4 linked regions of the Saccharomyces cerevisiae S288C genome follow. The gene in region 2 interacts genetically with the main gene of each other region. Each region holds a gene or a part of one and is shown on either strand. Other genes may lie near its edges.

Region 1 (8,324 bases), on a different chromosome or scaffold from region 2:
TAACTTGGGCGAACACAGAGGTGCAGACGCCGTTTCTTTACCACTAGTCTCGTTGTTCATTGTGTTAGCCTGATCACATCGAGCGAGCTATCCTGACGCTATTCTCTCTTGTTTCTTCTGTTTTGTTTCTCTTACATTTTTCATTTTTTTCTCTAGTTGGAAAAAAAAAAAAACACTATATTAGAATACGCACATTGTTAGCGCTGTTCTTTCAATTGTCATCTATATATTTACAAGGGAATACACAAAATCCTGGTTTTTTTAAGGTCTGGGAACCATGACATAGGAGGAGGGTTTCTTCGTCTTCTTTGGCAATGACGAAGAGTAGACCTCCTTCAAAAGTGCCTGCGTCCTTTCGTTTTCGAGTGCCTCATCATAGGGAAGGGACATTTCCTTGAGTAAGACCTGCTTGATGAGCATAATTTCACCATGTAGCTGCGCTTCTGCTTTAAACTTGGCCACTTTGTGAAGATTCTGCAATGTGAGTGGGTTATGAGGTAGCTGGTTGGCGTCATCGTTGATGACTGACTTGACTAACAGCCACATCTTTAAATTGCCCCTGTTCACCGTATGCGATTCGGACATCACGGGAGAGTCGACTAGTTCCAAGACGGATTGCGGCGCTGAGTCGTTAGCCCTAGGCTCTAACCGCAGCACACGCGTGTACCCACCGGGCCTTTCCAAGTACCGCGGTGCGATCTCGCTGAACAACCGCTTCATCAACTTTCTGTTGTCTCCTGCTAAAAACAATTGGCTCTGAATTTGGGACTTTAATTCCGCCTGTGCAACACTATTACTTGTCGTTATTGCCCTCTTTGTCCAGGTAATGATCCGCTCTGCGACCCTGGAAGCCTCTTTACATTTGGCATGCGTTGACACTATAGATTCATGCTGAAACAACTGGCACGCAAGGTTTTTTAGCAGCGCATCCCTATGCGCCTTGTCCCTAGAGAGTTTCCTAGCAATACCCACTGTCATTGTTGCGCTCGACTGTGCTTCTCACCGTTTTTTCTCCTTGGCGTAGCCAAATCTCTTGACCGTTATAAGCTGTTTTAGCTTGTCAAATCCCACTTGTTCTTGTTAACCAACTTTTCCCGCCTCGTACGCGGTGACAGACAAAGCAGTGATTTTTGCTCATTGTATAAAGGGAGTCTTTACTATGGTGGCATAAGCAACAATACTACGTGAGCAGCAACGAAAGCACATATATAGACGACAAAGTAGTATGGTTTTGAATCCGTCCAAGTACCAAGACACCCGCACGTGGAAGATGACGCCTGCCATGATCAGGGCCCGTAAACCCTTTTTCAAAGGCAATATGCTCGGTCTCACGCTGCTGCTGGGTGTCACGGGCTCTGTTTACTACTACACATATCATTTTCTGCACAAGGACAACGACTTTGCAGACGTGCCCATTCCACCCATCGATCCGCAGGAGCTCGAGGCTCTCAAAAAGGAGTACGAAGCCAAGAAGAAGGCATGAAAAGACCGTTAATGTGGAGGTACGCTGTGGTCTTCCATCAATAGGCTTTGCGCTGTTCTTCTCTCCTCTTTTGTAAATAGTTTACCTACTTGCGTATATGTATATATATATATATATAGATATGCTTATACGGATATATACATACATTCTGTTTGTTTATACTCTTTGTCCTACTCTAACAGCCAGCTCTTTAGTTTAAGAATATGATGAAAAACTCAGTTTGGGAAAAAAAAGGAAAATGTTAAAGTATAAACAATATCGAAATAAGTTCATCTACCACGCACACTTCACCAAGTTAGCAAGATGAACTTGAAGCAGTTCACGTGCCTATCATGCGCTCAATTACTCGCTATTCTGCTCTTTATCTTTGCTTTTTTCCCTAGAAAAATCGTGCTGACAGGTATATCAAAGCAAGATCCGGATCAAGACCGTGATCTCCAGCGCGATAGGCCCTTCCAGAAATTGGTGTTTGTGATCATTGATGCTCTCAGATCAGACTTTCTTTTTGATTCGCAGATTTCCCACTTCAACAACGTGCACCAATGGCTCAATACGGGCGAAGCATGGGGTTACACGTCATTTGCTAATCCGCCTACCGTGACGCTGCCTAGACTCAAAAGTATTACTACGGGATCTACACCTAGCTTCATTGACTTGCTGCTGAATGTAGCCCAGGACATAGATTCCAACGATCTTTCGGAGCACGATTCCTGGCTGCAGCAGTTCATCCAACATAATAACACGATTCGTTTCATGGGCGATGACACCTGGCTGAAACTGTTCCCACAGCAATGGTTTGACTTCGCTGACCCGACACACTCGTTCTTTGTCAGTGATTTCACTCAAGTCGATAATAATGTGACGAGGAACTTGCCCGGGAAATTATTTCAGGAATGGGCCCAGTGGGACGTGGCTATCCTGCATTACTTGGGTCTTGACCATATCGGGCATAAAGATGGCCCGCATTCAAAGTTTATGGCTGCTAAACATCAAGAAATGGACAGCATTCTGAAGTCAATATATGATGAAGTGTTGGAACATGAAGATGACGATGATACACTGATTTGTGTTCTTGGCGACCATGGAATGAACGAACTGGGCAACCATGGTGGCTCTTCAGCCGGCGAAACATCAGCAGGATTGTTGTTTTTGTCACCTAAGCTGGCGCAATTTGCTAGGCCAGAATCGCAAGTAAACTACACATTGCCCATCAACGCTAGTCCGGACTGGAATTTCCAGTATTTAGAGACTGTTCAACAAATTGATATCGTCCCCACCATAGCAGCACTGTTTGGTATGCCAATCCCCATGAACAGTGTTGGGATAATAATACCTGACTTTTTACAACTGTTGCCCAATAAGTTGGCAAGTATGAAAGAAAATTTTATGCATTTGTGGAAATTATCAGACCATCACGGCGAGGTTGCTCTTGACGATTTCACTGCCGAAGATATTTATACAAAGATGTACACTATTCAAGAAACGTTAACCAAGTCTGCAACAAATTATAATTATCCTCTTTTGACACTGGCTTTTGTTGGTTTCCTCATAATAACAATCATCGCCATTTATGTATTATTACGTTATTCTGGGCCTGATTTTTGGCAGTTGCGCGTTTCTTCCCTGTCTGTTCTGTTAGTTTCCATTATACTAGGCGTTTCCACATTTGCAAGTAGTTTCATTGAAGAGGAGCACCAACTGTGGTGGTGGATAGTAACTGCATTCTCGGCGGTCCCTCTGTTCGTATACCGATTGAATGTGCTCATAATCGTGCGCTGGTTTATAATGATGGCATGCGTACGCTCAATCAAGTTTTGGAATAACAGTGGCCAGAAATTCATTTATTCTAACGTTATGTCCAATCTACTTAATCAGAATCCTTCCTGGAAGTGGTGCTTAAATATGTTGACATTTCTAGTGCTGATAATGGCATCTGCTGGTTTTCAAGTACTACATTTTATTGTCACTACTATTTTGGTGGGGTTGTGTTTCACGTACAAAATCTCGTGGGAAATCGTCAATGGTAACCAGGCAGAAATACCGCTCTTTATGCATGATTTACTGGCTAAGATAGACTTTGCACCAACTGAAAGTAACTTGATTGTACTTGCGCGCGTTTTCTTCCAAGCTTGGGCTATTGTTGTCATTTCAAGGTTGGTCCTGACGAAATTGAAAGTACTTAACAAGAACTACCTCATTAAAGATATGAAAGTTTATATAACAATTCTTTTGATGTTCCAAACTTCTTCTCAGAACATAGGTCAATTTCTCGTTTTCCAAATATTAGAGTCCCAAATTTTTTACTTTTTCCAAAATATTCCAACCGCCTCATTAACATCAACAAGTAAGATTTATTTTTCGAATTTGGTGTCCTTAATTTTACAAAATTTTACATTTTTCCAATTCGGTGGCACAAATTCCATTTCTACTATAGACCTTGGAAACGCATACCATGGTGTTTCCTCAGACTACAACATCTACGTAGTGGGGATATTAATGTCCGTTGCCAATTTCGCGCCGGCAATATACTGGTCCATGCTACCGTGGTCAATAAACTACGCCTCTATTCCAGCACAAGTTAAGTTGCAAACGTTCATCAGAAGTAAGTTACCTGCCTTCACCTATCATTGTATATTTGGAACTTGTTTGATGACGGCATGCGTCGTTTTGAGATTTCATCTCTTTATTTGGTCCGTTTTCAGTCCAAAATTATGTTATTTTCTTGGGTGGAATTTTGTGATGGGATTGCTGAATGGCTGGTTACCTGAATTGGCCCTCCTTTGCGCTCTTGATTAACATAGAATTGTTCACGTGGTCTAAATATGTATACATATATGATAGTTTATAGATTCATACTGAGACAAGTGAAAAAAAAAAAATCTACTATCGACCTTCTCTCTTTTCGCGGCAGCAAAAATGAAAAATTAACTTCAATAAAAAAGTTGAATACTTTCAAATATTCTAATTGCATTTAATATTTAAGCAACAAAAGGACAGCGATAATTGAGTGGTGGCTTAATTCTATACTCCAAAGTATGTCCCAATCTAGTAGGTTAAGTGCACTTCCTATTTTCCAAGCATCGCTTTCGGCAAGCCAATCTCCACGTTACATTTTTAGTTCTCAGAATGGCACAAGGATTGTTTTCATTCAAGATAACATAATAAGGTGGTACAATGTACTCACTGATTCACTTTACCACAGTTTGAACTTTAGTCGTCATCTCGTCTTGGATGATACCTTCCATGTAATATCTAGTACGTCTGGTGACCTACTCTGTCTTTTCAATGACAACGAGATTTTTGTAATGGAAGTTCCTTGGGGCTATTCCAACGTTGAAGACGTTTCCATTCAAGATGCATTCCAAATTTTCCACTATTCAATTGATGAAGAAGAAGTTGGTCCGAAATCGTCCATTAAGAAAGTTTTGTTTCATCCAAAGAGTTATCGTGATTCTTGTATAGTGGTTTTGAAAGAGGATGACACTATCACGATGTTTGACATCCTTAATTCGCAAGAAAAGCCTATCGTTTTGAACAAACCGAACAACTCCTTTGGTTTAGATGCACGTGTTAACGACATCACAGATTTAGAATTCAGTAAGGACGGATTGACGTTATATTGTCTAAACACCACAGAAGGCGGTGATATCTTTGCATTTTATCCATTTTTACCGTCAGTATTACTGTTAAATGAGAAAGATCTCAACTTGATCCTAAACAAATCTTTAGTAATGTACGAGTCCCTGGATTCTACAACAGATGTTATAGTTAAAAGGAATGTTATTAAGCAGTTACAGTTTGTGTCAAAACTGCATGAAAATTGGAATTCAAGATTTGGCAAAGTCGACATACAAAAGGAATATCGTTTAGCCAAGGTTCAAGGACCATTCACGATAAACCCCTTTCCCGGCGAGCTGTATGACTATACTGCTACAAATATTGCAACCATACTAATTGATAATGGGCAAAATGAAATTGTTTGTGTCAGTTTTGATGATGGGTCTTTAATCTTACTCTTCAAAGATTTGGAAATGTCAATGTCGTGGGATGTTGACAATTACGTGTATAATAATTCTTTGGTTCTAATTGAACGAGTCAAACTACAAAGAGAAATTAAGTCTCTAATAACGTTACCTGAACAGTTGGGAAAACTTTATGTCATTTCCGATAATATTATACAACAAGTAAATTTTATGAGCTGGGCTTCTACATTGAGTAAATGTATCAACGAATCGGATTTGAATCCACTTGCAGGATTGAAATTTGAAAGTAAACTTGAGGATATTGCCACCATAGAAAGAATTCCAAACCTAGCGTATATCAACTGGAATGACCAATCTAATTTAGCCTTGATGTCGAATAAAACATTGACTTTTCAAAATATTTCAAGCGATATGAAACCGCAAAGCACCGCAGCTGAAACAAGTATCAGTACAGAAAAAAGTGACACGGTAGGAGATGGTTTTAAAATGAGTTTCACACAGCCCATAAATGAGATTCTTATTTTGAACGATAATTTTCAAAAAGCCTGTATTAGTCCATGTGAACGAATTATCCCATCAGCAGACCGCCAGATACCTTTAAAAAACGAAGCTAGTGAAAATCAGTTGGAAATTTTCACGGATATTTCCAAAGAATTTTTGCAAAGAATTGTTAAAGCTCAAACTTTGGGTGTTTCTATCCACAATAGAATTCATGAGCAACAGTTCGAATTGACGCGCCAACTACAATCGACATGCAAAATAATTTCAAAGGATGATGATTTAAGGAGAAAATTCGAAGCACAAAATAAGAAATGGGATGCACAACTAAGCAGACAGTCAGAATTAATGGAGAGATTTAGTAAATTGAGCAAGAAGCTATCTCAAATCGCCGAATCCAATAAATTTAAAGAAAAGAAAATAAGCCATGGTGAGATGAAATGGTTCAAAGAGATACGAAACCAAATATTGCAATTCAACAGCTTTGTTCACTCTCAAAAATCCCTTCAACAAGATTTATCGTACTTGAAGAGTGAACTAACTCGTATCGAGGCAGAAACTATCAAAGTCGATAAAAAGAGCCAAAACGAATGGGATGAGCTACGCAAAATGCTTGAAATAGATTCAAAGATAATTAAAGAATGCAATGAAGAATTGTTACAAGTTTCTCAGGAATTTACTACTAAAACTCAATGAGTAAGCGACTTGCATAGTCTGCTATCATATATGTACGCTAAGAAACAACTGGGCAATGGTATAATATCATGTAGCAAGAGGACATTATATATGAATTGGTCAATATATAAAGCCTTCTGTGCACCAAATCGTTAGGATGATTTTTCAGTATGCTGTATCATTGTATCGTATATTCATTCGTATCTCTTTTACCTCACTAACCGCTGCCAAAATTTACATGTATACAAAATAAAAGTCTTTTTTATGACCTTATTTGGTGAGTAATGCTACTTTTGTAAAGAGTGATGGAAACTATTATTCCAAAGGGTTAGAAGAAGGTGAGGAATACGTTCATATCACCGCTACAGATCGTGTCTCTCGGTTATGAGTAATCAAACCCTCTGCAAGCAACACAGTTACTTTTTTTCGGTTTTTTCTTTTCGTGTGAATTTTTATCCAGTGAGTTTCCTTGTTCACTTTCGAGAATGGAAGGCTGATTTCGAATTTTTATATTCAACAACTGTATTTGTATTAGGCTTTGCAATAGTAGATGAAAAGTGCAGAAGACGAATCTGCTACCCTCACAATACAAAGAAAAACAAAATCGTCATTTTAATATAGGAAGACACCGCTCAGGTAATTCAATATTGAATCTGGTTGCACTTTTCTTACGATGTAAATACCCACAAACTTCTTGTACGGTGAGCGTCTGACAACGAAATCAATTTACGGAGCAAGGATTTTGACAGTAGAGCAGATTGTTTTGAGTAGGATTTAGGAATCAAGACCTCCATCTTTGTCGCATTATTCCTAAATGTAACGTAACTCGTTTGATAAGAGAATGTCTAATCGAAGAGAGTTAATAACTTAATAAGCTCTTTAAAAGAACGATGGCATTTATCGTCTCCTATGCCAAGATAATTACTGGCTCAAAATTGTTCAGCGTTCATAAAACTTTGATATCACTTTCTGGCGCACAAGCTAACCTTTATGTAGTTCTTACGTAGATTCTTTTTAGCAAGTGCCTGGTAGTGGTTATTACATAAATGTATCTTTTCATTTGATAACAATTTCTTCAGTAGCATGTCGTGTCTAGCACGTGACGTAGAACTGTGGCTTTTTTGTTGTCATTATGACAATCAAGATACCAAAATTCAGTCATGTTTAAAAGGGGAAGGTACGATAGAGATATATATAAAGTGTTCAATTTACTATAATTGCGTATAGAATCCATTGTTACTTGCTCTCAATGAAACAACGATTCATTCGTCAATTTACGAACCTAATGTCTACTTCGAGACCGAAAGTTGTTGCCAACAAATATTTCACTTCTAACACTGCCAAAGATGTTTGGTCGCTAACCAATGAAGCCGCTGCAAAAGCTGCCAATAACTCCAAAAACCAAGGCCGTGAACTTATTAATTTAGGCCAAGGCTTTTTTTCATATTCCCCTCCTCAATTCGCCATTAAGGAGGCTCAGAAAGCCCTAGACATTCCAATGGTCAATCAATATTCTCCAACTAGAGGTCGACCTTCATTAATTAATTCCTTGATTAAGTTGTATTCTCCTATTTATAACACAGAATTGAAAGCGGAAAATGTTACCGTAACAACAGGTGCCAATGAAGGTATACTTTCTTGCTTGATGGGGCTTTTGAACGCTGGCGACGAGGTTATTGTTTTTG
Region 2 (9,427 bases):
ATCTCCCCTGCAAAAATCAAAGTAAAAATTTAAGACCCGATTAAACTATTCCTGTGCTAAACCACTCAGTTGGAAAATAAATTGTGTAACTAGTCCAAGTCAAGATCTTTGACAGACCGTGTTCAAAGAATCTCGTGGTTGTTCTGTTTTCTTAATTTTTGTTAACCACCTGTAGCTTTACTAGAGTGCATTTAAGCGGGACTTGTTGACTGGTATTTCATATCATAATAAGGCACGGTTAAATTGGCCTAGTAATGAATTTACTATAGCAGTATGTTTAATTATATTGCTTTCCCAATTTATATGTTTACTTTTTTTAGGCGCAGAGACCTGCTTAGGCGATATGTATCGTAAAAACATAACCGTAACGCTAGCAACAAAATATAAACTTGAAGCTATTATAATTTTCGTATACTTAGAAGCTGTTTTACAAATAATACAGCACTTTCATAAACTTAACAATACACCCATTAAAAAAGATCTATATGAATGGGTAATATAAGTATATAAATACAAAAAGGGGTACTACATAAAAGATTTATCATTTAGAGGCAATCTTGACCTGTTGCACAGAAATGTCTGATGGTTTGTCGTCCATGAAGAAAAACTTGAAAAAATGCTCGACACCCCAACTACCAAAGAAATCGAGCAATAATGTTAGGGTCAACTTAATCTTAAAGTCATCAGTCATTGGCACAAACTTCATGGCTTCGTTTAGCTCAGGTAAAAATTCAGTAGCACTTGCAAGTGCCAAACCTGTCACACCCAATAAACCATAATACATACCTTTGTTACTCCTAATGTTTTCTCTGAATGGCTCACCTTGATAATTGACAGCAAATGTAGAGACTTGTTGTACCAACTGAATGATGAAAATACCCGTATTCAATAATGATGGAGCAAATTCCTTTTCAAGATCAACTTGTGGCTCTCTGGGTTCCAATTTATAAATCTCTGTAGTGATGTAAACTAAAGTGGCAATATGAACGGCAAATTGAGACAAAATAGATCCCATAATGTAAACATTGAAAATTCCGGACTGTGGCCTTTGCTTGGATAGTTTTTCTAAAGGTTTACCACGGGAAATACTCAAGAAACAAACCGATAGTAACAAACCGGAGACAGTGGCTTGACCATCACCAAATTTGACACCAGCCATGTAAATGATGGACAAAGAGTAGGCACTGATTAAACAATTCAAGGCCAAGATTTTGTACATTTGAATTGTGTTAACTAAAGCACAACGGCCTTGACGTATAATGTTAGTAACAGCAGAAACATTGGCCAGTTTCGAGGTAAAAGGGGCAGCGCAAGATGCATCTCCTAACTTTAGAGCTGGTGCTTCATCACCTTGGGCATCACCAGCAGAGTTCAACAACAAAGAAGCTAAGTCAGCAGGTTTTTTTTCCGATAGTCCATTTGGTTTGATGACTTCAACAGGTTTGGAATTTGCTTCTTCAACTGCTTTTCTGATTTCTGGCGTAATGACGGTACCTTTGCTTTCTAAAGCTTTCAGATAATGAGGATTTTTTGGACCAGGTGGGAATAAGTGTGCAATCGGTTCAGGAACAGGTGGCTGTGGTTGATTCCATCTAGCCATAAATTCAGTTTGCTTTATATACATCATTTTCATACCTTCCAATCTGCGTTGTTCACCCAATTTTTTCAAACCTTCTTCGGTACCATTCAACAATGCAATACCAACATGAGCTTGTTTCAAAGCACCAACATCATTAGTACCATCACCGCACATTAAAGTTTGATATCCCATATCCTTTAGTGTATTCAGCAAGAACTCCTTTTGGGATGGTGAAACACGTGCGTAAACCCAGGTGTGACGTAATAGATCCCTTAATTGAGAATGCCCTTCCAAGGCATTCAAAGCATATCCAGTAACAGCAATATCATATCTATCAAATAATTTAGAATGATCAAAAGTGTCTTTTGATGGATCAAATGGGATGGAAACTGTCTCTTCAACATCACGGAACAGCAACTGATTGTCGTCAGATTTACCTGCTCTGTCTAAGATTAAAGTTTCGCCAAAAACTATGCCAACTTCTTTAGCCACATGAACAGCAGTTAATGGATTATCACCAGTAATCATAATAGAACGATGGGAGGATTCATTTAACATTTTAATGGTTTCAATAGCGTCATCCTTCAGAGGACAATGGAAAATCAAAAACCCATTAAAGGTTAATTCAGATTCAACATCATCACGGTTTAGATCATCAATTTTAGACTGAGACATTTTTGGCAACGACTTAGAAGCCAAAGCCAAAACTCTTGAACCAGAGCGTGTAAAGGATTTATAGATTTCGTCATAATTCTTGGGAATGTCAGAAAGCCTTTCACGAATCGTTTCAGGTGCACCTTTGACAGCAGCAAACAAGGCATCGTTGTGAGAAGCAATAGAAGCAGACCTTTTTAAAGCAGAAGAAAATTGAAATCTACGGATAATATCCAATTTTCCGGTGCCCTCTCTATAGTTACTGTTTTTTCTTTCGACAGCCCAACCAACAGCCTTTAAGGTCGCCTTTTCCATTGGGTCACCAACAATATCACCATCTTCCAATTTAACTAAAGCGTGAGCAGCACCAATGACAAGAATTGTACTTTCTGGTGCTTCGGCAGCGCTGTACAAGTGACGAATGTTTTCGGAGTCCGCAGAGATACCAGCTAGACCTTCAAACACAAGATCTTCGCCGGTCAAAGTACCAGTTTTATCGAAACAACAAACATCAATTCTACCAGCAAATGGAATTCTAAATGGTTCAGTACAATAGACATAGAACTTGGCAAGGGCGGCCAGAGAACTGTTGACAGCCATGGTCAATTCCATTGGTAACTCAGGAGGAACAACAGATGTAATAATTAATATACAGTCCAAGATCAATTTGGATTGAATTCTACCCATTTTTGTACCCTCAACCCAAACGTACCAGGATGCAATAACAGCGAAAATCAACAAGAAAAGAATGAACATCAACGCTTCCTTATTATCGACGGAAACACGTTCAGCGGAGTAAATCATAACTCGAACTAAAGAACCCTGAGATGTTTCAAAGCCAGTTTTGGTGACGATGGCTAAGGCACCTCCATCAGGTGGAGGAGGGATATCCGATTTATGTTCAGGAGGTGTTACTTGTAATGCCTTTGTACCACCATGTAACACAGCAATCTTGTCAACACCGTCCAGTTGTAAATTATCTTCACTAGGACGTAATTTAATGGATTCCTTTAACAAGGGAGTAGATTCACCTGAAAGCATTGCTTCATTAACAATAGCGGAGCCATCGAGCAAGATCAAATCGCAAGGAATTGCGCTCTCCTCGGCGGTTCTTGTTATAGACACTAAATCCATAGGTAACAATTCATTGGTTTGCAATGCTACCCATTTTTTGTTTCTAAACACGTTAATGGTATAAGGTTTGATACCCATAGTTCTAAATTCCTTCAAGGCAGTTAATCTTTGAAATACTGCAGCTGCCTCCATGGAGATAATCATGAATAAGTTAAACAAAGAATAATACCAGAACTCATCCAATAGCCATAAGGCAACACAGAAAACTTGGAAAACAAACAATGGCGCAACAGCGTGCTCTTTGAATAATTCCATAAATGTTGGAATAGGAATATCAAAACTATTCTCACCATATAGTCTCTTCAAATGAGTTAGGTCACCGGAATGGCCCTTACATTTTTGGAAATCACCGATCTTTGGGGATTCATCAACAAGGAACTTTGGTGAAGAAAATACCTGCTCATTTTCATGCCACAAGAATCTTTTCTTTTGAAATTGGAAAAAAGTCTGCAAAGAGCCCGCTTCAGTTACTCTCTGAATTTCAACGATACCATCAGAACCATTATTTGGAGTGGTGTAGATGAGAATGTGAGTAGCTTCATTGACATTTTTAGTAGTACTGTAGTTGAATTTCGCCTTGATCTTGACATTCCAAGCAGGCATTAACATGACTAGGATGTTCAAGGATACCAATGTCCCCAAGTAGACAAAAGTCCACTCAGGTCCTTTGATGTAACGATCATATTGCTGGAAATATAGTTGGGCAAAGGTAGCGTATAACGGGAAAAACGGTAATACGTACGGCTTTGCTATTAATGACTTTGGTACCAGCAATGTCGAGTCCCTAACAATAGGACTGCTCACAAATGATTTCTTTGTCATTTACCGATTCCTATGTTTCTGTAGGTCTGATATGTCAACTATGTCTAGAGCTAAAAGCTTGCTAAAGCTTCATGTTATATGGTGGAAGAGACATTGCCACTTGGCTTTATTCAGAACACGCGAAGAGGAAGAGAAACGCGTAACGTATGGCGTGACAAGAAGCCACGAATGAGCAAGTAAGATAAGCCAAAGTATCACACATATTCATTAACAGAAGATATAGTGCCCCATAACTGCTTACAACACATTCAAACAAAAGAAGGAAATAAGCGTTTTAATACATAATTCTTTAATACACGAATAACAATTAATGAACTAAATAATCTGGAAATGAACTGAAAATTATGAATGACAAAAAGAAAAAAAGCCAAGAATGGAAGTCTTTTAGTAAACATTCCTGTGACATCAGACTCTCCAAACTTTATCGTCAGCAACCATTAAGTTATTTCTGTCCGACATGATCTTCAAACCTGCTAAATATTCTTGAGCGGAGAATTTTTCCTCCTCCGGTAGTTCTTCGTTGATTCTTTCGAACAAAGAGGCCACAGGATAGGATTCTTCTTCAAATATTTCTGTTTGCATCAGACGCGCAATAATACCTGAGATTAAAGACAATCTACCAGTAGAAATGGTACCAGGCTCCACATTGTCAAAAGAAATAACTGACTGTTGTTGCTCATCATCCTGACCTGCAGAAGATACGTTAGGTAATCTTGGAGTACCGACCTCGGTAAGAGGTCCCGACGAACCTTCCTCAGGTGCGTGAAGATGTTCTCTACGTCTTGGAGACACTCTCAACCCCAGTTGAAGCCTTCTTTGTAATTCAGCTTCCTCATCCGCAGGAAGCGGTGACATTATATCGTTATCGTCTTCACCAGCGTTCTGTTCGTCATCTTGAAAACGTAATATTCTGCGTGCTGACGATGGCGTGGCATTAACGGAAGATGCCGTTGACCTTCTTGGAGTAGATTTGATTGGGGATCCAGAGTTGCTTGCTGGTTGTCTGACTCTTTGTCTTTTTTTCGGTGATTTCTGTGGAGACCTCTTCGACAAAGCTTCTTCGTATTCACTTTCCTCTTCATCGATATCATTGCCGATATCCTCACCCAATAGTGCAAACCTTAGTAGATTGGCAGCCACTTTAGCATCCACCTTGTTGACTGTTTTGGATAACCTGACTTTGGCGTGAGCTGTGGCTAATCTGATCAAAGTCTCCAAAGTTCTTGCAGTAATGGGCGATTTTTTGGTATTATCATCGTTTCTTAAATCAGTATAATTTTTCACAATAACATTGATGGCTTCTTGTGTTAACTGTGGAATAACCCTTTCCTTGGCATATTGAACGTACTTTCTTAAGAATGGGATGGTGACTAGCTTTGGAATTTCTGTACCGTTATAGTTACCTTTGTTTTTTGCTAACTTAGCACCTGCTTGTAATAAGGGGTTGAACTTTTCGAAGACATGGTCTTCATCATCTTCTCCTTCATTTTCTACACCAGCCCCGGAGTTGGAATGCTCTTCAGGATTTATATCTGCATCCTCCCCAACGGCTAATGATAAATTCAAACGCTCTCTCACAGGTTCACCCTCTAAATAACCTGGAGGCAAATATCTGTGTGTTCTTAAGACATGCTCACTAATGGATCTATCTCTGATTTCATTGATATCGTCTGTCACAACAAATAGTAAATCAAAACGAGACAACAGCGAGTCCGGTAGGGCAATGTTTTGGTGTGGATCTCTATTGACATCGTACTGCCCAAAAACGGGATTTGCGGCAGCAATAACACTACAACGAGCATTTAATGTTGTGTGAATACCTGCTTTGGCAATCGTCACCGTTTGTTGTTCCATTACTTCATGAATGGCGACTCTATCCACATCTGTCATCTTATCAAATTCATCAATACATACAACCCCGCGGTCAGCAAGAACCATGGCACCAGCCTCTAGTCTTCTTTCACCTGTTTCCCTATCAGTAGTGACCGCTGCGGTCAAACCGACACCGGAAGAACCTCTACCAGTAGTAGCAATTGCCAGTGATGCTGTATTCAACACAAACCTTAGCAATTGGGACTTGGCAGTGGATGGATCACCCACCATTAGGATATTGATGTCACCTCTTAAATGCGAGCCATTTTCTAAATTTTTCTCCACACCTCCCATGAGCATCAATAAAATGGCTTTCTTTATATGGTCATGTCCATAAATAGAAGGCGCTAAAGATTGAGACAAGATATCGAAAATGTCCTTTTTTTTGGATAGTTTATTGATATTTCTTATATCGAAATCTGTCAACATTTGTCTCGCAGCGACACCCGTGGATCTGGCGTGGAGAGGATACACCGTATTACCTAGGATCAGAGTTTTGAACCCGATCAATGTATTAGAGTTGGACTGGTTCATGCCACCAGCACCAAGCGACTTGAATACCCCGACAACGTTAACTCTGTCACCTGGCTTGGTCTTGTCCACAAGGTCGTCATCGAGAATGACGTCAATGGACCTGGGAAGTTGGCCAGCGGGGGCCATTTCGGGCATTTCTTGCACAGTGATACGCTGATGGTCTATGAACGTACTATACCCATATTCGGTGGTTAGTTTGTTACCTTCAGTGTCCTCCGTTGGATAGATGGCAGGCGTTGGGATGCGGGTGGTGAGAGTTGTAGTAGCATCTGTATAATCTCTGTAATGGAATCTACCAGTCTTTGCCGCGTAGTGGACAGATCTGATAAGCTTTGGCCTGACCAACGAAGTCTTAGTTACGATACCCTCAACAGAGACCAGTTTGTTTAAATGTTGTGCCGTTAGAGTACGAGGAGACAATGCGTGTGCACCAAATGAGCCTTTGAACGAAAGCTTCCAAGGATGGCGAGACGATACTGCAGAGGCATTGGGATGTGGAACATCGTCCATGGAATCTGCTAGGTCAGTAAGCGCCTTTTCGGCAGGCGGGATGAAGTATGCTGGTTCGACTAAAATGCCCGACCAGAACGACCTGTCGAATTCTCTCAAGTCATCAAGCGAGATGATAATCCTGTGAGGGAGTATATTCAATGAGGTGGACGATGCTGCTTTCTTTTCCTTTTCAAGATCATCACCGTCGTCATCACCTAGCAAATCTCGTTCGTCTGCGTCATCTTGATCATCGTTGTAGTTGGCCGCGTTATTGCTGTTGTAAACTTGTATGGACCTTACAGAGTCTCTGTATGAGGTGAAAGTATCTAAAAACTCTTGAAATCTGCGCACTCTGTCACCAAACACAGCGTCTGGAGCGAAAAAAGTAGTAGCGTCTCCATCAAATCCCGTTGAGCCTTCCATAATTGACGTTTGTATCTTTTTGGTGCGCTTATAGTGGAGTTCAATACGAGCAGTAGGATGAAAATGCTTCAAGGAAAAGAGCGTAGGCCTTTTCAACTTGAAAGAAGATTAAGAACCTATCTTTCGAGTTTTGACCAAATTTTTCTTTTTTTTCCTAAAACACGAGTTTTTACCCATTTAGGAAAAGTAATTGTTTCTTCTACCGCCTCGATCTGACGAACAAGGGAAATTGAAAAAAAAGAGAAAAATAACGACAACTGCAGGACTCGAACCTGCGCGGGCAAAGCCCAAAAGATTTCTAATCTTTCGCCTTAACCACTCGGCCAAGTTGCCATAACTCATTGAAAATTCTGTTTCCCACATAGGTCAAAACTAATATTTCCCTTGGCCTGCTCTTCAACCTCCCCCGTTCTGAGAGTTCCCTTTTTTTTTTTTTTTTTTTTTTTTTGAGGGGGAAGCGCCGGATTTGCCACCGACCGGCTGCTTGCAGCCGGTAGATATGCGCACATGAAAATCATCCTCCCCAATGAATTACACTGCCTGCATAAGGAAAAAGAAAAGTGTGAAATACGAATAAAAACAAAGTATATTATTGCTATATAGATGATAAATAACAAAATAAATAGAAAATAAAAAAAAGGATTTATTTGTGTATGCTTTAGGAGAACGAAAAAAAAATTGCAAAGAAAAAAACCCGGTTCAGCGAAGAGTACATGATGTGATGGAAGGGGCGTCGGAGTTTTTTTTTCTTTTTTCATTTATATCCCATGCCATGATGTTAACCGGTTTAATCGGTTCTAGCAGCTTCCTTGAAGGAGATGGCGGCTTCTTCACCCATAGCGGAGATGATGGTAACCATCAAGTCCTTACCTTCATCAAAAGCAGTTTGCAAACTGTCACCCAATTCACCTTCTGGAGCCTTGACATCATCCTTAGTGTCACCGTCCATGTTCATCAAAGACAAGAAACCGTCATCAATGTCCAACAATTGGTATTCGTTTCTCTTGACAACTGGAACTTCCATGTTGTGAGTAGATGGAGACAAATCTTCCAACTTCTTACCAGTGAAGATATCAATGGCAACCAAATGGACTTTAGCGTGACCGTGCTTACCAGTCTTAGAAGTGGACATGTCGACAATCTTACATGGTCTACTCTTGATGACAACGAAACCGTTCTTTCTCAAGGCAGAACATTGCATTGGGTAGGTGGCGGAGGAACCAGCGTCAGCAGTTTCAAAGGTATGTTCTTCGTCAGACATTGTATATATGAGTTGGTATTTGTGTGTGTTTGGGAGTCTATGAGTAATTGGCTACAGAAGTAGAATCGTTAGAAAGAAGGAAAGGAAGCAATTGATAGAAGGAGAGGAATTTAGGAAATGAGGGATTCCAATGTCAAGATATGGCAAAAACCTTGTGCATTATATAATCGTGGAACACGACGATCAACGCGGCCAAAAGCCGATCGACGACGACGACGAAAAAAATTTTTATTACCACTGTTCCTTCACCTTCGAAACTTTTTTTCGGGCGACGGCGTTTCTTTTAGCTCCTGCGGTATGTGCGGTGCGGGAGGTCCCTTGTCGCCTCACACGGACCCGATATAACGCTACGGAATACATCGAGGGGTATGGGTGGATGATATCACTGCAGCAAGGTCTGGGTGTTGCAGAATTTTACCGGCCTTGGCCCCTCAGCGTCCAGCTACAGCGTTATACTACTCCAAGTCGCCGTTCCCGTTTTGCTGTTCTCACCCCTCAGAGAAAATGCCACCAGAACGAAGCCAATGGTCAGGACTTATCGTTACTTATACTGTTGAGCCGGATATATCCGCTGTGCTCTAATACCAGCCAAACGAGAAGGGTAGCGGCAAGAAAGGGTAAACTTTCATGATGAAGTTAGCTAGTTCCTTTTACGA
Region 3 (7,513 bases), on a different chromosome or scaffold from region 2:
AATTATATTTTAACACTTCCGCACTGCACCTATTTAGTTGGCTGATTTGTGACGTTTTTAATTCCGATCGGCCTGAAACAGCGAAGGGTCCTGGAAAATTAAGATAATAAAACGAAATGAAACCCAGCAACGTTAGATGATGCTCAAAAAAATATAGAGACAGAGAAAAACCAGAATACAAAGAGCTGTTTAAGTGGTCAATATCCCAGGTACACCGAGCCCAGTCACATCGAACTTATAATGGATGCAAAGAAAAATACTGGTGAAGCCAATAATGATGTATTGGAAGAGGAAGCAGCGATTCAGTTGATTGCACCAGGTATAGCGAGAAACTTAACACAAGAAGTCATTACCGGTATCTTCTGTAATGTAGTAATATATCCTCTTCTTCTAATATATTTTGTCTTAACTTTCCGTTACATGACTACAAATATTGTACCTTATGAATTTATAGATGAAAAGTTTCACGTTGGCCAAACTTTGACCTATTTAAAAGGTAAATGGACTCAATGGGACCCTAAAATAACAACCCCCCCTGGAATCTATATTTTGGGTTTAATTAATTATTATTGTATAAAGCCCATATTCAAGTCGTGGAGCACACTAACCATACTAAGATTAGTTAATTTACTTGGAGGGATTATCGTTTTCCCCATTTTAGTACTCAGGCCAATATTCCTTTTTAATGCCTTAGGTTTTTGGCCCGTTTCATTAATGAGCTTCCCATTGATGACAACTTATTATTACTTATTTTACACCGATGTGTGGTCTACAATTCTGATATTGCAATCACTCAGCTGCGTGTTAACATTACCGTTTGGCCCCGTGAAGAGTATATGGTTGAGTGCTTTTTTTGCTGGTGTAAGCTGTCTCTTCAGACAAACGAATATCATTTGGACGGGATTTATAATGATTCTTGCTGTTGAACGCCCAGCCATTTTACAAAAACAGTTCAACACGCATACGTTCAATAACTATTTGAAATTATTCATTCATGCTATTGACGATTTCTCCAACCTTGTTCTGCCCTATATGATAAATTTTGTTTTGTTCTTCATTTATCTGATTTGGAACAGATCCATAACACTAGGTGATAAGTCCAGCCACTCAGCAGGCCTGCATATAGTACAAATATTCTATTGTTTCACATTCATCACCGTTTTCAGTTTACCTATATGGATATCTCGTAATTTTATGAAGTTGTACAAATTAAGAATAAAACGGAAGCCAGTACAAACTTTTTTTGAATTTATTGGTATTATGCTAATCATAAGATACTTTACAAAAGTTCACCCATTTTTGTTAGCAGATAATAGACACTACACGTTCTACCTCTTCAGAAGATTGATAGGCAACAAAAGTAGACTAATCAAGTACTTTTTTATGACACCAATCTATCATTTCTCCACTTTCGCATACCTTGAAGTGATGAGACCCAACCAGCTCACCTTTCACCCCATCACTCCACTCCCCATCAAAGAACCTGTACATTTACCCATACAACTGACACATGTATCGTGGACGGCCTTAATAACGTGCACCATGGTAACTATCGTTCCATCACCCTTATTCGAACCTCGTTACTATATATTGCCCTATTTCTTTTGGAGAATATTTATTACCTGCAGCTGCGAACCTTTGATAAAGGATTTAAAACCTGCTAAAGAAGGCGAAAACCCAATTACCATAAGCAGTACGAAAAGACTGTTCATGGAATTTTTATGGTTCATGCTCTTCAATGTCGTTACTTTAGTTATCTTTTCCAAGGTCTCATTTCCTTGGACCACTGAGCCCTATTTGCAAAGAATAATATGGTGAACAGAATTGATTATAGTTGCAAAAAGACGTTCTATAAATGTTTACTAGTAGTATTTATTTTCTTTTTTTATTTCCATCTTTTAGTGGCCAACCGTTTTGTATATATTGATTTTTCTTCGTAGTGGCCTCAAACCGTTTGAGCCACTTAATGGCAAATGATAGCGAACTTTCTCCTGCTTTTAGGAATACTCTTATAGACATAATGCATTGATTTCCACGAACGTTCATGGTTGGTAAACGTAAGGGAATTGTGCTATATATATATATATATATATATGATAATATTGTATAAATTTCTTAAGGTTGAAACCTACCTAGAACAGTTTAATAGAAATAAATATTGTCCAAATTTCTTTTTGGTTGTAGAATGTTAATTGTGATATTTCATAAAGCTATATTTTCAAATTCTTCTCTCGCTTCTTCCACTTTAGCATCATCACTTCTTATTTCATTTTCTTCCTTTTTGTTCATTTCTTCTGTTTGCTTATTTACATCATCGTCTTTTTTTGCTGATTCTGTGACATGTTCGTTTTCAACGTGTTCTTTTTCTTCAACCTTTGGTTGCTTTTCGTCTTCTTTCCTCTCGCTTTCTTGTTTAATGTCTACATTATCAGCTTTGATTTCATGCTCTGCTTGTCCAAGGCTTTCTGTATTTACAGTTGTAGTCTCCGCTTCGCTAGGTTCTGTTTTCACAATTTTGACAGATTCGTGATCTTGAACAGATTGTACATCTGCACTACCACTATCTTCGCCCTTTATGGATTCTGCGTTGAGGGTAGAAGGCTGTTCAGCTGCCACTTTCTTTTGCGAGGCAGGCACGTATTTCTGCTCCTGCAAGGATGTGTCAGGTTGAGATTTTTGCTGTTGTGATCTCAAGTTTTCTTGATACTTGATCCACGTTCTTCTTTTTAAAACTTCGAAATAATCTTGTATAGGACCATTAGATTTCTTATCCCTGAAGACCAATTCACCATCACCGCTAAAGTAGTCGTCATTGTCATCTACTAAATACCAATTACCAGCTTCCAAATCGTTGGCAAACGATAACAGAAATTCACCCCAATTTTCAGCAATGACAAATTTCGTATCGAAGTCCCTCCCAAATGTTATAATTTGAGCATATTTACCATTTGGACCAGGCGCCAAGTCAACACCGATATGGTTACCGGCATTGTCCGTTATTAAAGGAATCCAAGCAGGATGTGCATATACCGGTTGCACTGCATTTGGAGGAATAGATTTTTGATCTGGGATATTTGGCAGTTTGAACTTGTTACCATTTAGTCTTTCCATAGATGAAGAAGAGCCAGTAGATGTAACATGGGATAAACCTTGTTGAGATCTTTTGTTTAGGTTCTTTGCGACGTTTCTCCAGGCCTGAGTCATAGCTACAACCTGATCTAGTGTCATTAGTTGGAAGCCATAAAACAAGCCAGAAGTACCGGTCATCGATTCTAAATCTTCTTGGCCATCATGAATTTTGAAAGACGCTTTTACTGGGTTGGGAAAGCTAACTTCCAAGTCTTCCTCTGCGTGAGTGATATCGTTTTGGGTGCAAGGATCACTCAAAGTTGCATTTAAATCTGGATTATGTTCACTGGTCCAAAAATCGATGTGTCTCCAAGCTAAGAGGGTTTCAGAGACACCATCGTTTGACTCCGTGGACGTAAATTCATCAATATTTATGTCTTCATTAGATGGCACGCCATTTTGAAATCCCATGCTCATTTCCTCATCTACACTATTCAAATGCATTTGAGAGGGATTTACCTGACCATTGTTGCTGTTTAAACGTTTACCCATGTTAAAAGTAGGCGTTTCATCGGGGTTATACTCTGCATAATGGTCGTCAGTGCTGAGGGAGTATACCCATTCTTTAACTTTTCTTTTGAATAGATCCATTTTATACTAAAAAATTCTGCCAAGTTGTCGCCTATAGAACGAATGTGCGTTTATTTTGTATTTTCTTTGCGTATTGATAGTATAGCTAGTCCTTGTATATTTTCAATTTTTCGATAACTTTAGTCGAACACGAAAAAAAATAATTAGCGGATTTAATTTTGTACCTTTATTTTCAACAGGCTTGATTCTTGAATGGCGTATTTGCAAATATTTCAATATTGAGAGAAGCTAAAATTTCTAAGAATGGACTTGCGTTTGAAGATTGCGTAGCAGCGCAAAGAATTGATTAAAATGTAATTTACTCTGGAAAGAAAACACAACCTTTTCAGTTGCGGTGCAAAAACATTCTTTTGATCTCGAAGTAGGAAAACTGACATTAGAAAAAGAAAAAAAAAACAATCTGCGAATTATGCATTTCTTTTTTTCGCTTTTTTATTTTCTTTTTTCTTTTTTTCGACCTCCAATAGGGCTTTGGAAGCCCTATATGTAATCTAGGGTAATGACATATGTCACGTGCTTTAGGGCTTGGTGCCTTTATTTTTATGATTATGTGACAAGGATCTAAGGGGGTTTTCCAGATACGGGAAAAAATAAATAGTAGACTATCCTAAAAAGGAATGTAATTAACTTATGATGTACAAACGGTGGTGCAATGCATGTTAAGCCCTGCAGGTAAATGGATCAGTGCGGAGTACGCATCTTTTGCGATGTTCCCATGTAGATTGGAGCCTCTCTGCTTCGTTCTAACTCTCCTCCGTTGTCATAAAGGCCTGCGATTAGTAAGGTGGAAGGTATCTGAAGTTAATGCTAGGATTTCAAATGTATACCTTTTTATTCTCTTGAACAAATAACGAAATCCTCTACAAAAGGTTTCTATTGAAAGTTCCCAATAAGCAGCAAATTCTTCTTCCTCTACTTATCTGTGATTTTTTTTTAAAAAAAGTTAATCAGAGGCTACTACATCATTGCGCTAAAAAAAAGTAACAGATTTGCGATGTCATACGGCGGATCGGCATCCCAAGATATAGTGACAAAATTGATTAGAAAAATCCAAAATACGTCTGTGTCTTGCACCAGGAGGGATGAAAATCTAGATTCTTTTAATCAACACTTGAAAATGAGTCTTAAAGTTGCGCATAACACGAAGACATTTGCAAAGCATTGCCTTCATCGACAAGTATTCAAGAATACGTATCGGAAAAGAAAAGCAGTGGAAGATCAAAGGAAAAACTTGAACACGCAACTTAGGCAAAAATTTGCGTCGCCGTCAGACAATTTGCTTTCACCATGCTCTAGAAAACTGAATGATCACAAGTCAAAACTTTTCTCAGCCAAATCGCAACCCAAAACACTGGAGTTTGTGCGGGGCAAACAGAATATACCACGCAAGCCGAATGTAGACATTTAATTTAACGGATGATGATCATAAATTGGCCTATTTTTTTGCTGTATGTGTTACATATTATACTATATACGTTCTCCAACAATACAAGATGATACGGGGTAATACTCCTTATTCTTATTCTAGAAGACATACAAATATTTATGTTTTACGCATCGCTTTCTTTCCCTTTATTTTGTATTCACAAGTATATGGCATCTTAACATTGTTACTCAATTCTTAAAGATAATATCTAGCCTTCGCTATTTATTTGCCCCTTCCATCGATTCTTGCATCCACTACGGTATTTAGCAACAATGCTTCATTATCCAAGATGACTCTATTTGGAGAGCTAGCCAAGATCTTTGCAATGTCCCTGGCTGTATCTAATCTTTTCAATTCCACGTAGTCTCTTGATTTCTTGATGGCTTCACCAATCAGTTCGGCGGATTTGGCTTCACCTTGTGCCCTCACTACCATACCTTGTTTTTCTTGTCTGGCTTTATCAACTACAAATGCAGCCCTTTGAGCATCTTGTTGGGCAATTTGCTTTGCTTCTACAGCGTTCGTAAACTCTGGCGAAAAAGTCATGTACGTAATAGAAACATCATCCAGTAGGATATTGAATTTGCTTGCACGACGAACCAAATTCTCGCGAATCAACCTGGAAACTTTTTCTCTTTGAGTGATTAATTGTGACGCATTAAATTGGGCCACTACAGCCTTTAAAACTTCATTAACAATGGAAGGCAACACTCTTTCATCGTAATCCTGACCTAAGGTTCTGTATATGGTGGGCAATTGCACCACATCCGGTCTTGAAAGTACTCTACAGGTGATATTCACCATTTGTAAGTCTTTGGTACCTGTTAAAGAAGCAACATTACGAGGTTTTGCTCTCACATCATAAATAATTGGTGTGTCAAGCCAAGGGAAAATGAAGTGAGTACCTTCATTAAATATCCTAGAGGAAACACCATGTATTCTGGAATAAACAATGGCTCTATGACCACCATCTACATTGAACAGTGCATTATTAATGAACAGTGCACCACCTCCGAGTAAAAGCAAACCTCCCAAGCCTGCAAATGCCCCCCTTGGTGAAGGCACTTGACCTCTGCCTCCGGTTTGCTGTACCTTGGACAATTGTTTTTGGAACGCCTTTGCGTACCTTTGGAACTCACCAGGTGATCTATTCATCAGCACTAAATTATATTCTTTTCTAGCAGCCGCTTGCTTTTATTTCGTGAGCTACTAAAATACAACCTCCCCTGTAAAACTCTTCTGATGTCCTTTATGGTTTATGAATTGCCCTTTTTTGCTATTATTTCCCTTAGATGCCAAAATGAGCGATACAAGAAAAGTTTGCCACTCTATGTCGTTGATAGTGATTATGCAACACAATTACATGCAAGCTATTAAAATATCGACTAAACGGATACGGCCACATCGCAGTATTACTCATAGCAATAGAGGAAGTAGAAAGTATTTAAATGGGGCCACTCAAATTGCACACTGCTTTATGTAATCTGATTTCATTTCTATACAAAGAATATCTCTCTTACCCGGCTGTCAAGTATGATCGAAGGGCCCTTCATAAAAGGGTTCTTTAAAGAACGATCAGCTGAAGCTGTGATAATAAATGCTACATAAATGCATGCCCTTAAAACTGTATAACCATGTCTAATTATCCTTTGCATCAAGCCTGCATGGAAAATGAGTTTTTCAAGGTACAAGAGCTGCTACACTCCAAACCTTCCTTGTTGCTACAGAAGGACCAGGATGGCAGAATCCCTTTACACTGGTCAGTTTCTTTCCAAGCACATGAAATTACCAGTTTTTTGCTTTCTAAAATGGAAAATGTTAACTTAGATGATTATCCAGATGATTCTGGATGGACACCTTTCCATATTGCTTGTTCAGTGGGGAATTTGGAGGTGGTAAAGTCTCTTTACGACAGACCTCTAAAGCCTGATCTAAATAAGATAACCAATCAAGGAGTTACATGCTTGCACTTGGCAGTTGGTAAGAAATGGTTTGAAGTATCCCAATTTTTAATTGAAAATGGTGCGTCCGTAAGAATTAAAGATAAATTTAATCAAATTCCATTGCATAGAGCTGCGTCGGTGGGTTCTTTGAAATTAATTGAACTATTATGCGGTTTGGGCAAAAGCGCTGTAAATTGGCAGGATAAGCAGGGTTGGACCCCACTATTTCATGCTTTGGCTGAAGGGCACGGTGACGCAGCTGTATTGTTGGTGGAAAAGTATGGTGCAGAATATGATCTTGTAGATAATAAAGGCGCTAAGGCAGAAGATGTTGCCCTTAATGAACAGGTTAAAAAGTTTTTCCTAAATAATGTATAAGATTTCAAAACTACATATTACAGAACTTTACATATCAATATTATTC
Region 4 (6,552 bases), on a different chromosome or scaffold from region 2:
CCCTAGGTGTAACCAGAAGAGATTAGGAGGGCTTAGGGCCAGTATTTTATCTGATGTAGGGCAAACGAGTAAAATGTGTAGGGTATGGGCTAATATCAAGGGCTTCGGACTTACTGCCCCGCTCACAGAAACAGCCGCACTAATTAATTTCTTTTGTGTAACGTTAAAGTAACCCTGGAATCATCATTGAAAAATTATCATCCCAAGAGACAGAGATGTGCATGTTGACAACGCAGGCTCAATGTAGAATAAGATCTGACTACTTAGTCAATTTTACCTCTAGATCATATTAACTAATCTCATCTTGCACAAAAAACGTATCACTATCATGGAGGAAATTCCTGCCCTGTATCCAACGGAACAAGAATTCAAAAATCCGATCGATTATCTCTCTAACCCCCACATTAAAAGGCTTGGTGTACGATATGGTATGGTCAAGGTCGTACCACCAAACGGGTTCTGCCCGCCACTTTCTATTGATATGGAAAATTTTACTTTTCAACCAAGAATTCAAAATCTGGAGAACCTAGACCTGAAAAATAGGTGTAGGCTATTTTTTATGAAACAGTTAAATAATTTTAAAAGATCCGTTAAGGATCCATCGAAACTTATACTTAGGGAACCTTATACGATTGTAGAATATTCAGATTCTACTCATGCATCGGAAATACTAAAAAAAAAAGTGTACTTTTATGACGTTTTCTCTGAACTAATAAAAGACAATCGGACACTTACTGACACTACACAGTCATTCAGGCGAAAATTGAAATTTAGAGATATTTCCCAATTAAGAGGCGACATCAGTCTATGGAGGACCATTTCTAAAAAATTCAACGTACCAATCGGCTTGTTAAAGGAAATTTTTGAGAAATATATTGCCTCATACTACATATTTCTTCATTCACTGAACGAGAACGTGCACACGGCGCTGCATGCTGACCAGTATCCAAAATCCTTATTAAGTGATGACGAGGACGATTTCGATCTTGGGCCAGATTCGAATTCTGGGTCGGATTTTGAGGAGGACGATGATGATGCTTGTATTGTTTGTCGCAAGACAAATGATCCAAAAAGAACAATTTTATGTGATTCATGTGACAAACCATTCCATATATATTGTTTATCACCACCTTTGGAACGTGTTCCCTCTGGCGATTGGATTTGTAACACTTGTATCGTCGGAAACGGATATTACGGATTCACTCAGGACACGCATGACTATTCTCTACCAGAGTTTCAAGAATATTGTAAACGTCAAAATTCAAGGTTATTACCAGCACGAAAACTGTCTATAGATGAGTTGGAAGAGATGTTTTGGAGCTTAGTGACCAAGAATCGTCGCAGTTCATTAACGACAGTTAAATACGGTGCTGACATACATAACGAATTGCCAGGTCAAATTACCGGCTTTCCGACGAGAGAATTTATACCCAAAAATATAAATGGGGACGAATTGATAGACTACCTCAAATATTGCGATCATCCTATGAATTTAACTAACTTGCCTATGGCTCATAATTCGCTATTACCGTTATTTAAAAGAAATATTTCTGGCATGACTATTCCTTGGATTTACATAGGCTCCTTATTTTCCACATTTTGTTGGCATATGGAAGATCAGTATACCCTAAGTGCTAACTATCAACATGAAGGTGACCCTAAGGTCTGGTACAGCATTCCCGAATCGGGATGTACGAAATTCAACGATCTATTAAATGATATGTCACCAGACTTATTTATCAAACAACCAGACCTACTGCATCAGCTAGTGACTTTAATATCTCCGTACGATCCAAATTTCAAGAAATCAGGTATTCCTGTGTACAAAGCTGTGCAAAAGCCCAACGAATATATTATCACGTTTCCTAAATGTTACCATGCTGGTTTTAATACAGGTTATAATTTTAATGAAGCTGTCAATTTTACTATAGATTTCTGGCTACCATATGGATTTGGTGCGATTACGGATTATAAATTAACTCAGAAAGCATGTGTTTTTGATATGTTTGATTTAATGATCAATGTTTTGGACAAGTACAATAAAGATACTCTATTGTTCAATGATGCTTTTGTTAGGCAATGTTACTCTTCATTGATCGTCTTTTATAATACTGAATTAAAACGCATACGGAAAATTCAGGCCATTGTACCACGGACAACTCTTTTGGAGGTGCATACTGATCCAAACGATGAAGATGAGGAATACGATATATTTTGTTCCCAATGTAAGACTATATGTTCAATAGCCTTTGTATTGCGAAAGAATAACTATGATTCAATTAGAACGTATAAAAGACACAAGAAAAACCATTTAAGTATTAGGCAGTGGAATGAACTATCCACGACGGACAGTAAAGTGAGTATCCTGTGTACGCAGGATTACTTAAAATCAATACAAAACTTGAACAATAGCGACGGTGAAGAACCTTATATTGACGATGAATTGTATTTCACTAAGTCTTTGAAGGATATTGACTCTTTAATAAAGCAAGTTGGTGTTAAGTTAGATAGATAGTCTTCAATATTTGTGTATGGCGTAATGATTTTTTAGAATAATACTTGGCATTTAGCACGCCACTTTTAGCGCGAAAACACCAAAAAAGTAAAGAAAATAATGTCGATCAATCTTTAAAGAGAGACAATTGAATGGTAGTGTAACAATTTACAACATAATAGAGTATCGCATTCAGCAAAAGTAAAGAATAAATTCTAAGAAAATGGCTCAAGCCTTGAACTCCACCAATATTGCTTTTTTCAGAGTAGCATTTTTATTCACGATCGCCTTCTTTTGTTTAAAGAACGTTAATTCTATTTTGCAAAATACATATTTCATAGTCTTAACGCAAGCGATGAATTTACCGCAGTTAACACTGTCACGTTATAGTGGTCAATTGGGTCTTTTCGCTCTTCTGTTTACTCTTAACGGTGTTCATGATCTAATTCCCCTGTTAGAAAACAATGTTAAATACTTCCAATCTGTTGTGCCAGTTAGATTACTAATTTTTTTTATTTTGACAAGTATCTCGTACCTTTGGGAGTCAAACTTTTACGTTCACAATAACTCTGTTTTTATTTACTGTTTTGCAGAAGTTTGGATAAATTTTCTTTTGTATAATGCCATTAGGGAGGAGAAAAATGAAGAGTTCAAAAGATTGAACCAATTCATGGTTAATGATGAGGATATTGAAGAACCCCAACCATTTACCGTGAAGACTGAAACCACAGAAATCATTGAAATAATCAATGATGAAGAAAATGACGATGAAGATGGGAAAGATAATGATGATAACAATGAGAAAGGTAATGATGATAGCGATGCAAAAAAATAAAATGTTTAATCGTTTATTTTTTCTTTCCTTTATTCTTATAGTAGATACCTGTGTATGTATGTAGATATAGACATAACGAAGCTGAATTTAACGGTACATGCTAATATGTGTACTCTATAGATTAGTTTTTCTTCTTTTCACTAACATAGTCTAGAGCGGTCAATCTTTCAGCTAGAGTTGGATGGGAATAATGATAGCTAGAATACAGAGGATCTACATTCATGGTGGAAAGGTTTTTGATTTGTAGATCAATTAGAGCCCTACATAGATTTTGCTTGTAGCCCAATTTTTTAGCATAAGCATCAGCTTGATATTCATGAGTTCTGGAAATTAAACTCATCACGAATTGCATGGCACATTCGAGTGGAGTTAATAAGTCGTTAAATAACATAAATCCAATGATAATGGGGAATTCCTTAGTGATAACGGGATCAACAAAACTGCCAGTGGACTTCTCTAAGAAAAAGCCGAAGGTGTTGTAAAATGATGTATTTCTGTAGATGCTGGTGAAAAGGGAGAAAATGAGGAAGGTGTGCAATTGACTAAAGATGACCATATTAACGATGTGGTTTTTTTGCCAGTGACCGATTTCATGGGCCAAAACAGCCGTAATTTCATCAGTAGAATTACTGTTCACTAAAGTGTCGAACAAAACAATTCTCTTGGAGGTGAATGGCAAACCTGTGAAATATGCGTTTGAATGAGAAGATCTTTTTGAGCCGTCAATGACAAAAATCTTATCTAGAGGGAACCCAACTCTATCGGCCAAACTTTCAATAGATTTTTTCAGTTCACCGTCCTCCAATGGAGTGAACTTATTAAACATGGGCATGATGAAGACTGGAATGATTGTCATGGCTAAGATTTGGACAACGAACAAGAAGACCATAATGTACCAAAGGAAATCAGTAGGGAATTTATCAAAGATCTTAAGGAACAGGTAAAGGATTGGGCCACCAATAGCATACGCCAAAGTCAGACTCTTGATCATATCGGTGATCCATAGTTGGACGGTCAATTTATTGAAACCAAATTTTTCTTCCAGGACAAAATGGCTATAGTAAGAGAGTGGCAAATCAACCAAGGTAGACAAACTGGATAAGAGACCCAAGAAGCATAAACTCTGTGCGACAGTGGAGACCATATGAAATCTGACTGGCAGGACTGCATTCAATAAAGAAACGGCCATGTGCCAGATTTTAGGGAAGAGGTCGTATTTGATGAAAACTAGCTTTTGGGCTAGGTTATAGACGTCACCGAAAATGGAGAACTTGGCCTTGGCCCGGGAGTAGTTCCTTGATTTATGAAAAGTTTCATCATCAATTTCGTCTTCCAGCACAGGTGGCAACTTTGTTTCAGATAGCTTCTGGTACTGTCTGTACGTCAAGTAAGATTCGAAAGAAAATTGGGCAATCGAGAACCCAGAAATGATTAATTTCCACGGGATATTAGGATGGTCGAGAATCGTCTTAAGATCAAACATGAATAAAGGCCTGCAGTTTTCTATTTCCTCCTTTTTTTTCCTTCCTTTTCCTGTTAATTATAGAAGTGGTTTATAATTCGCGAACTTTTTCTCTTGTTCGTTGTCTTTTTTTTTTTATTTCCCGTCGATTTTTTTCTGGAGAAAATGGCAGAACAGAGACGAAGGAATTAGAGTTTTTGAGTAAATGACGTAGAAAAAGAGGGAAAAGTTTAATTGCCTCTTTTTGGTTAATAGGAATGAATATACAAGTTTACATATATGTATATTTGTATGTATGTATGTAGATGTATGTGTGTGTGTGTGTAAGGCGTTTCGTTGTTGAAGATAGAAAAAAAGGTAGGTTTAGTCTAGCTTCGACGTTGGGGCTGGTTTTGCAAGTTTCTTGGCGATTCTAATCATCTTCTTGAACCAAAGCACGTTCAAAAGGTTCATGAAAATGTTCAGCGACATCATCGTGACAGCAGAAAACTTGGGTAACTCGTCTCTTACCTTCCACATCTGCCTGAATAAGAGAGCGGATGCGATGGAGCCCCAGCAAATCCTGACGACGAAAAACACAGTCATGAGCAAAAGGCCATTGACGACATTAAACCACAGAGGGATAGAGTTCTTGCTCTTGGCGTTACATTGCATGATGAACCAATTGATGTTCACAAAGGGAGTGGAGGCCTCGTAGATAAGGAACCTGCCGATCCAGGGTTGGCAGAACGGTCTTAAGGACAACAGCATCACATATACGGAGCCAATGGCGTGGCCCGTGAACTCGAGACCATAAAGCTTGAAGTAACGCACGCACATAGTCAAGTCCCAGATAAAGTACCCTGCGCTGAGGGAAGATACCATTGAACTGTACGAATCTGTGTAGGTGACAACATTATAATGCATTGGCGTCGTGAGGGTGGGCAACAGGACGGTGTTCGAGACGACAGCCTGGATCATCGAGACGGTGTGGACATTGAAATCAATTTTCAGCAGTGGGTCACGGATCGTGGTGTAGTGCTTGCGAAAGACCACTTTATTCAAGAACGGTGCGACAACGGAGAATGCGAGCTGGTAGAAGACGAAGCTGAAGATGATCTCATGCAAATGAGCCAGTATTAAATTAGACGAATGAGGGAAGAAGGACAGCTTTTCGAAGGGGCTGGTGAGGCCGATTGCTGTCGTGGTAGAGTTGGCGTTCATTGCGGCAAGAGCGATAGCTTAAAAATATTGTTTTTTTTTTCTCTTTTATTAAACTATGTTTTATACTGTTATGTTGCGTTGAGTTATGTCAAAATATTATGTTGCCTTGTATGTTTTTGGACCCGACAAAAACACAGGCTGAAAAGAAACACGTATGTATGTATATGTATATAAACATATGTGTGCATATATAAGTGCACGTATAGAAATAATATGCGATAAAAGTCTATTGTTCCTGGCTCATAAAACCTAGGAACTGAACGAGTTTTTTTCTTTGGTGATTCTGGCGTGATTCAACATTCGTATGCGATGACGGGCAGATCCGCGTCGTAAAAATGTTCTTAAGAAAGGAAAAGGGGAAAATGCATGCTAATCACATAATGCTAATGGGCCGGATGTTATTAGTGAGAGGAGAAGAGTCGCTGGATGCTGGGGAAGCGGAATGAGCTTCTGCAGTAGAAGAACCATCGGCAGCGTCACACAGTACTACCTCGCTGTCGATTTCGTCTATTTCGTCGAGGATCCTGTCCAGCATATTGGCGTGGCCCACCATTTTTC

Evidence for each region.
Region 1: mutations in SPF1 (region 2) and LAS21 together harm fitness more than expected from each alone (negative genetic interaction), as found in Saccharomyces cerevisiae (5 studies listed by BioGRID, with this or other methods).
Region 3: mutations in SPF1 (region 2) and SMI1 are lethal when combined (synthetic lethality), as found in Saccharomyces cerevisiae (5 studies listed by BioGRID, with this or other methods).
Region 4: mutations in SPF1 (region 2) and STE24 together harm fitness more than expected from each alone (negative genetic interaction), as found in Saccharomyces cerevisiae (5 studies listed by BioGRID).

Annotation. Positions count from the first base shown.
Region 1 is NC_001142.9:315,498-323,821, forward strand, and holds LAS21 (mannose-ethanolamine phosphotransferase LAS21), read left to right. Parts: upstream 1-1,786; coding exon 1,787-4,279; downstream 4,280-8,324. Other genes in the region: DLS1 (Dls1p), read right to left, coding at 1-60; mitochondrial 54S ribosomal protein bL17m MRPL8, read right to left, coding at 262-978; COA3 (Coa3p), read left to right, coding at 1,226-1,483; linker nucleoporin NUP82, read left to right, coding at 4,519-6,660; BNA3 (kynurenine--oxoglutarate transaminase), read left to right, coding at 7,889-8,324. UniProt on the Saccharomyces cerevisiae protein: Ethanolamine phosphate transferase involved in glycosylphosphatidylinositol-anchor biosynthesis. Transfers ethanolamine phosphate to the GPI second mannose.
Region 2 is NC_001137.3:85,020-94,446, reverse strand, and holds SPF1 (ion-transporting P-type ATPase SPF1), read right to left. Parts: upstream 4,190-9,427; coding exon 542-4,189; downstream 1-541. Other genes in the region: MCM DNA helicase complex subunit MCM3, read right to left, coding at 4,595-7,510; MTC7 (Mtc7p), read right to left, coding at 7,849-8,268; HYP2 (translation elongation factor eIF-5A), read right to left, coding at 8,298-8,771; UTR5 (Utr5p), read left to right, coding at 8,902-9,402. UniProt on the Saccharomyces cerevisiae protein: Endoplasmic reticulum translocase required to remove mitochondrial transmembrane proteins mistargeted to the endoplasmic reticulum.
Region 3 is NC_001139.9:947,180-954,692, forward strand, and holds SMI1 (Smi1p), read right to left. Parts: upstream 3,721-7,513; coding exon 2,203-3,720; downstream 1-2,202. Other genes in the region: DIE2 (dolichyl-P-Glc:Glc(2)Man(9)GlcNAc(2)-PP-dolichol alpha-1,2- glucosyltransferase), read left to right, coding at 241-1,818; OTO1 (Oto1p), read right to left, coding at 1,873-2,046; BNS1 (Bns1p), read left to right, coding at 4,715-5,128; prohibitin subunit PHB2, read right to left, coding at 5,369-6,301; NAS6 (Nas6p), read left to right, coding at 6,781-7,467; PHO81 (Pho81p), read right to left, coding at 7,495-7,513. UniProt on the Saccharomyces cerevisiae protein: Protein involved in the regulation of cell wall assembly and 1,3-beta-glucan synthesis, possibly through the transcriptional regulation of cell wall glucan and chitin synthesis.
Region 4 is NC_001142.9:640,267-646,818, reverse strand, and holds STE24 (zinc metalloprotease), read right to left. Parts: upstream 4,813-6,552; coding exon 3,451-4,812; downstream 1-3,450. Other genes in the region: JHD2 (histone demethylase), read left to right, coding at 329-2,515; ILM1 (Ilm1p), read left to right, coding at 2,718-3,329; TDA4 (Tda4p), read right to left, coding at 5,155-5,994; YJR115W (uncharacterized protein), read right to left, coding at 6,368-6,552. UniProt on the Saccharomyces cerevisiae protein: Proteolytically removes the C-terminal three residues of farnesylated A-factor mating pheromone. Also acts to cleave the N-terminal extension of the pheromone. Does not act on Ras.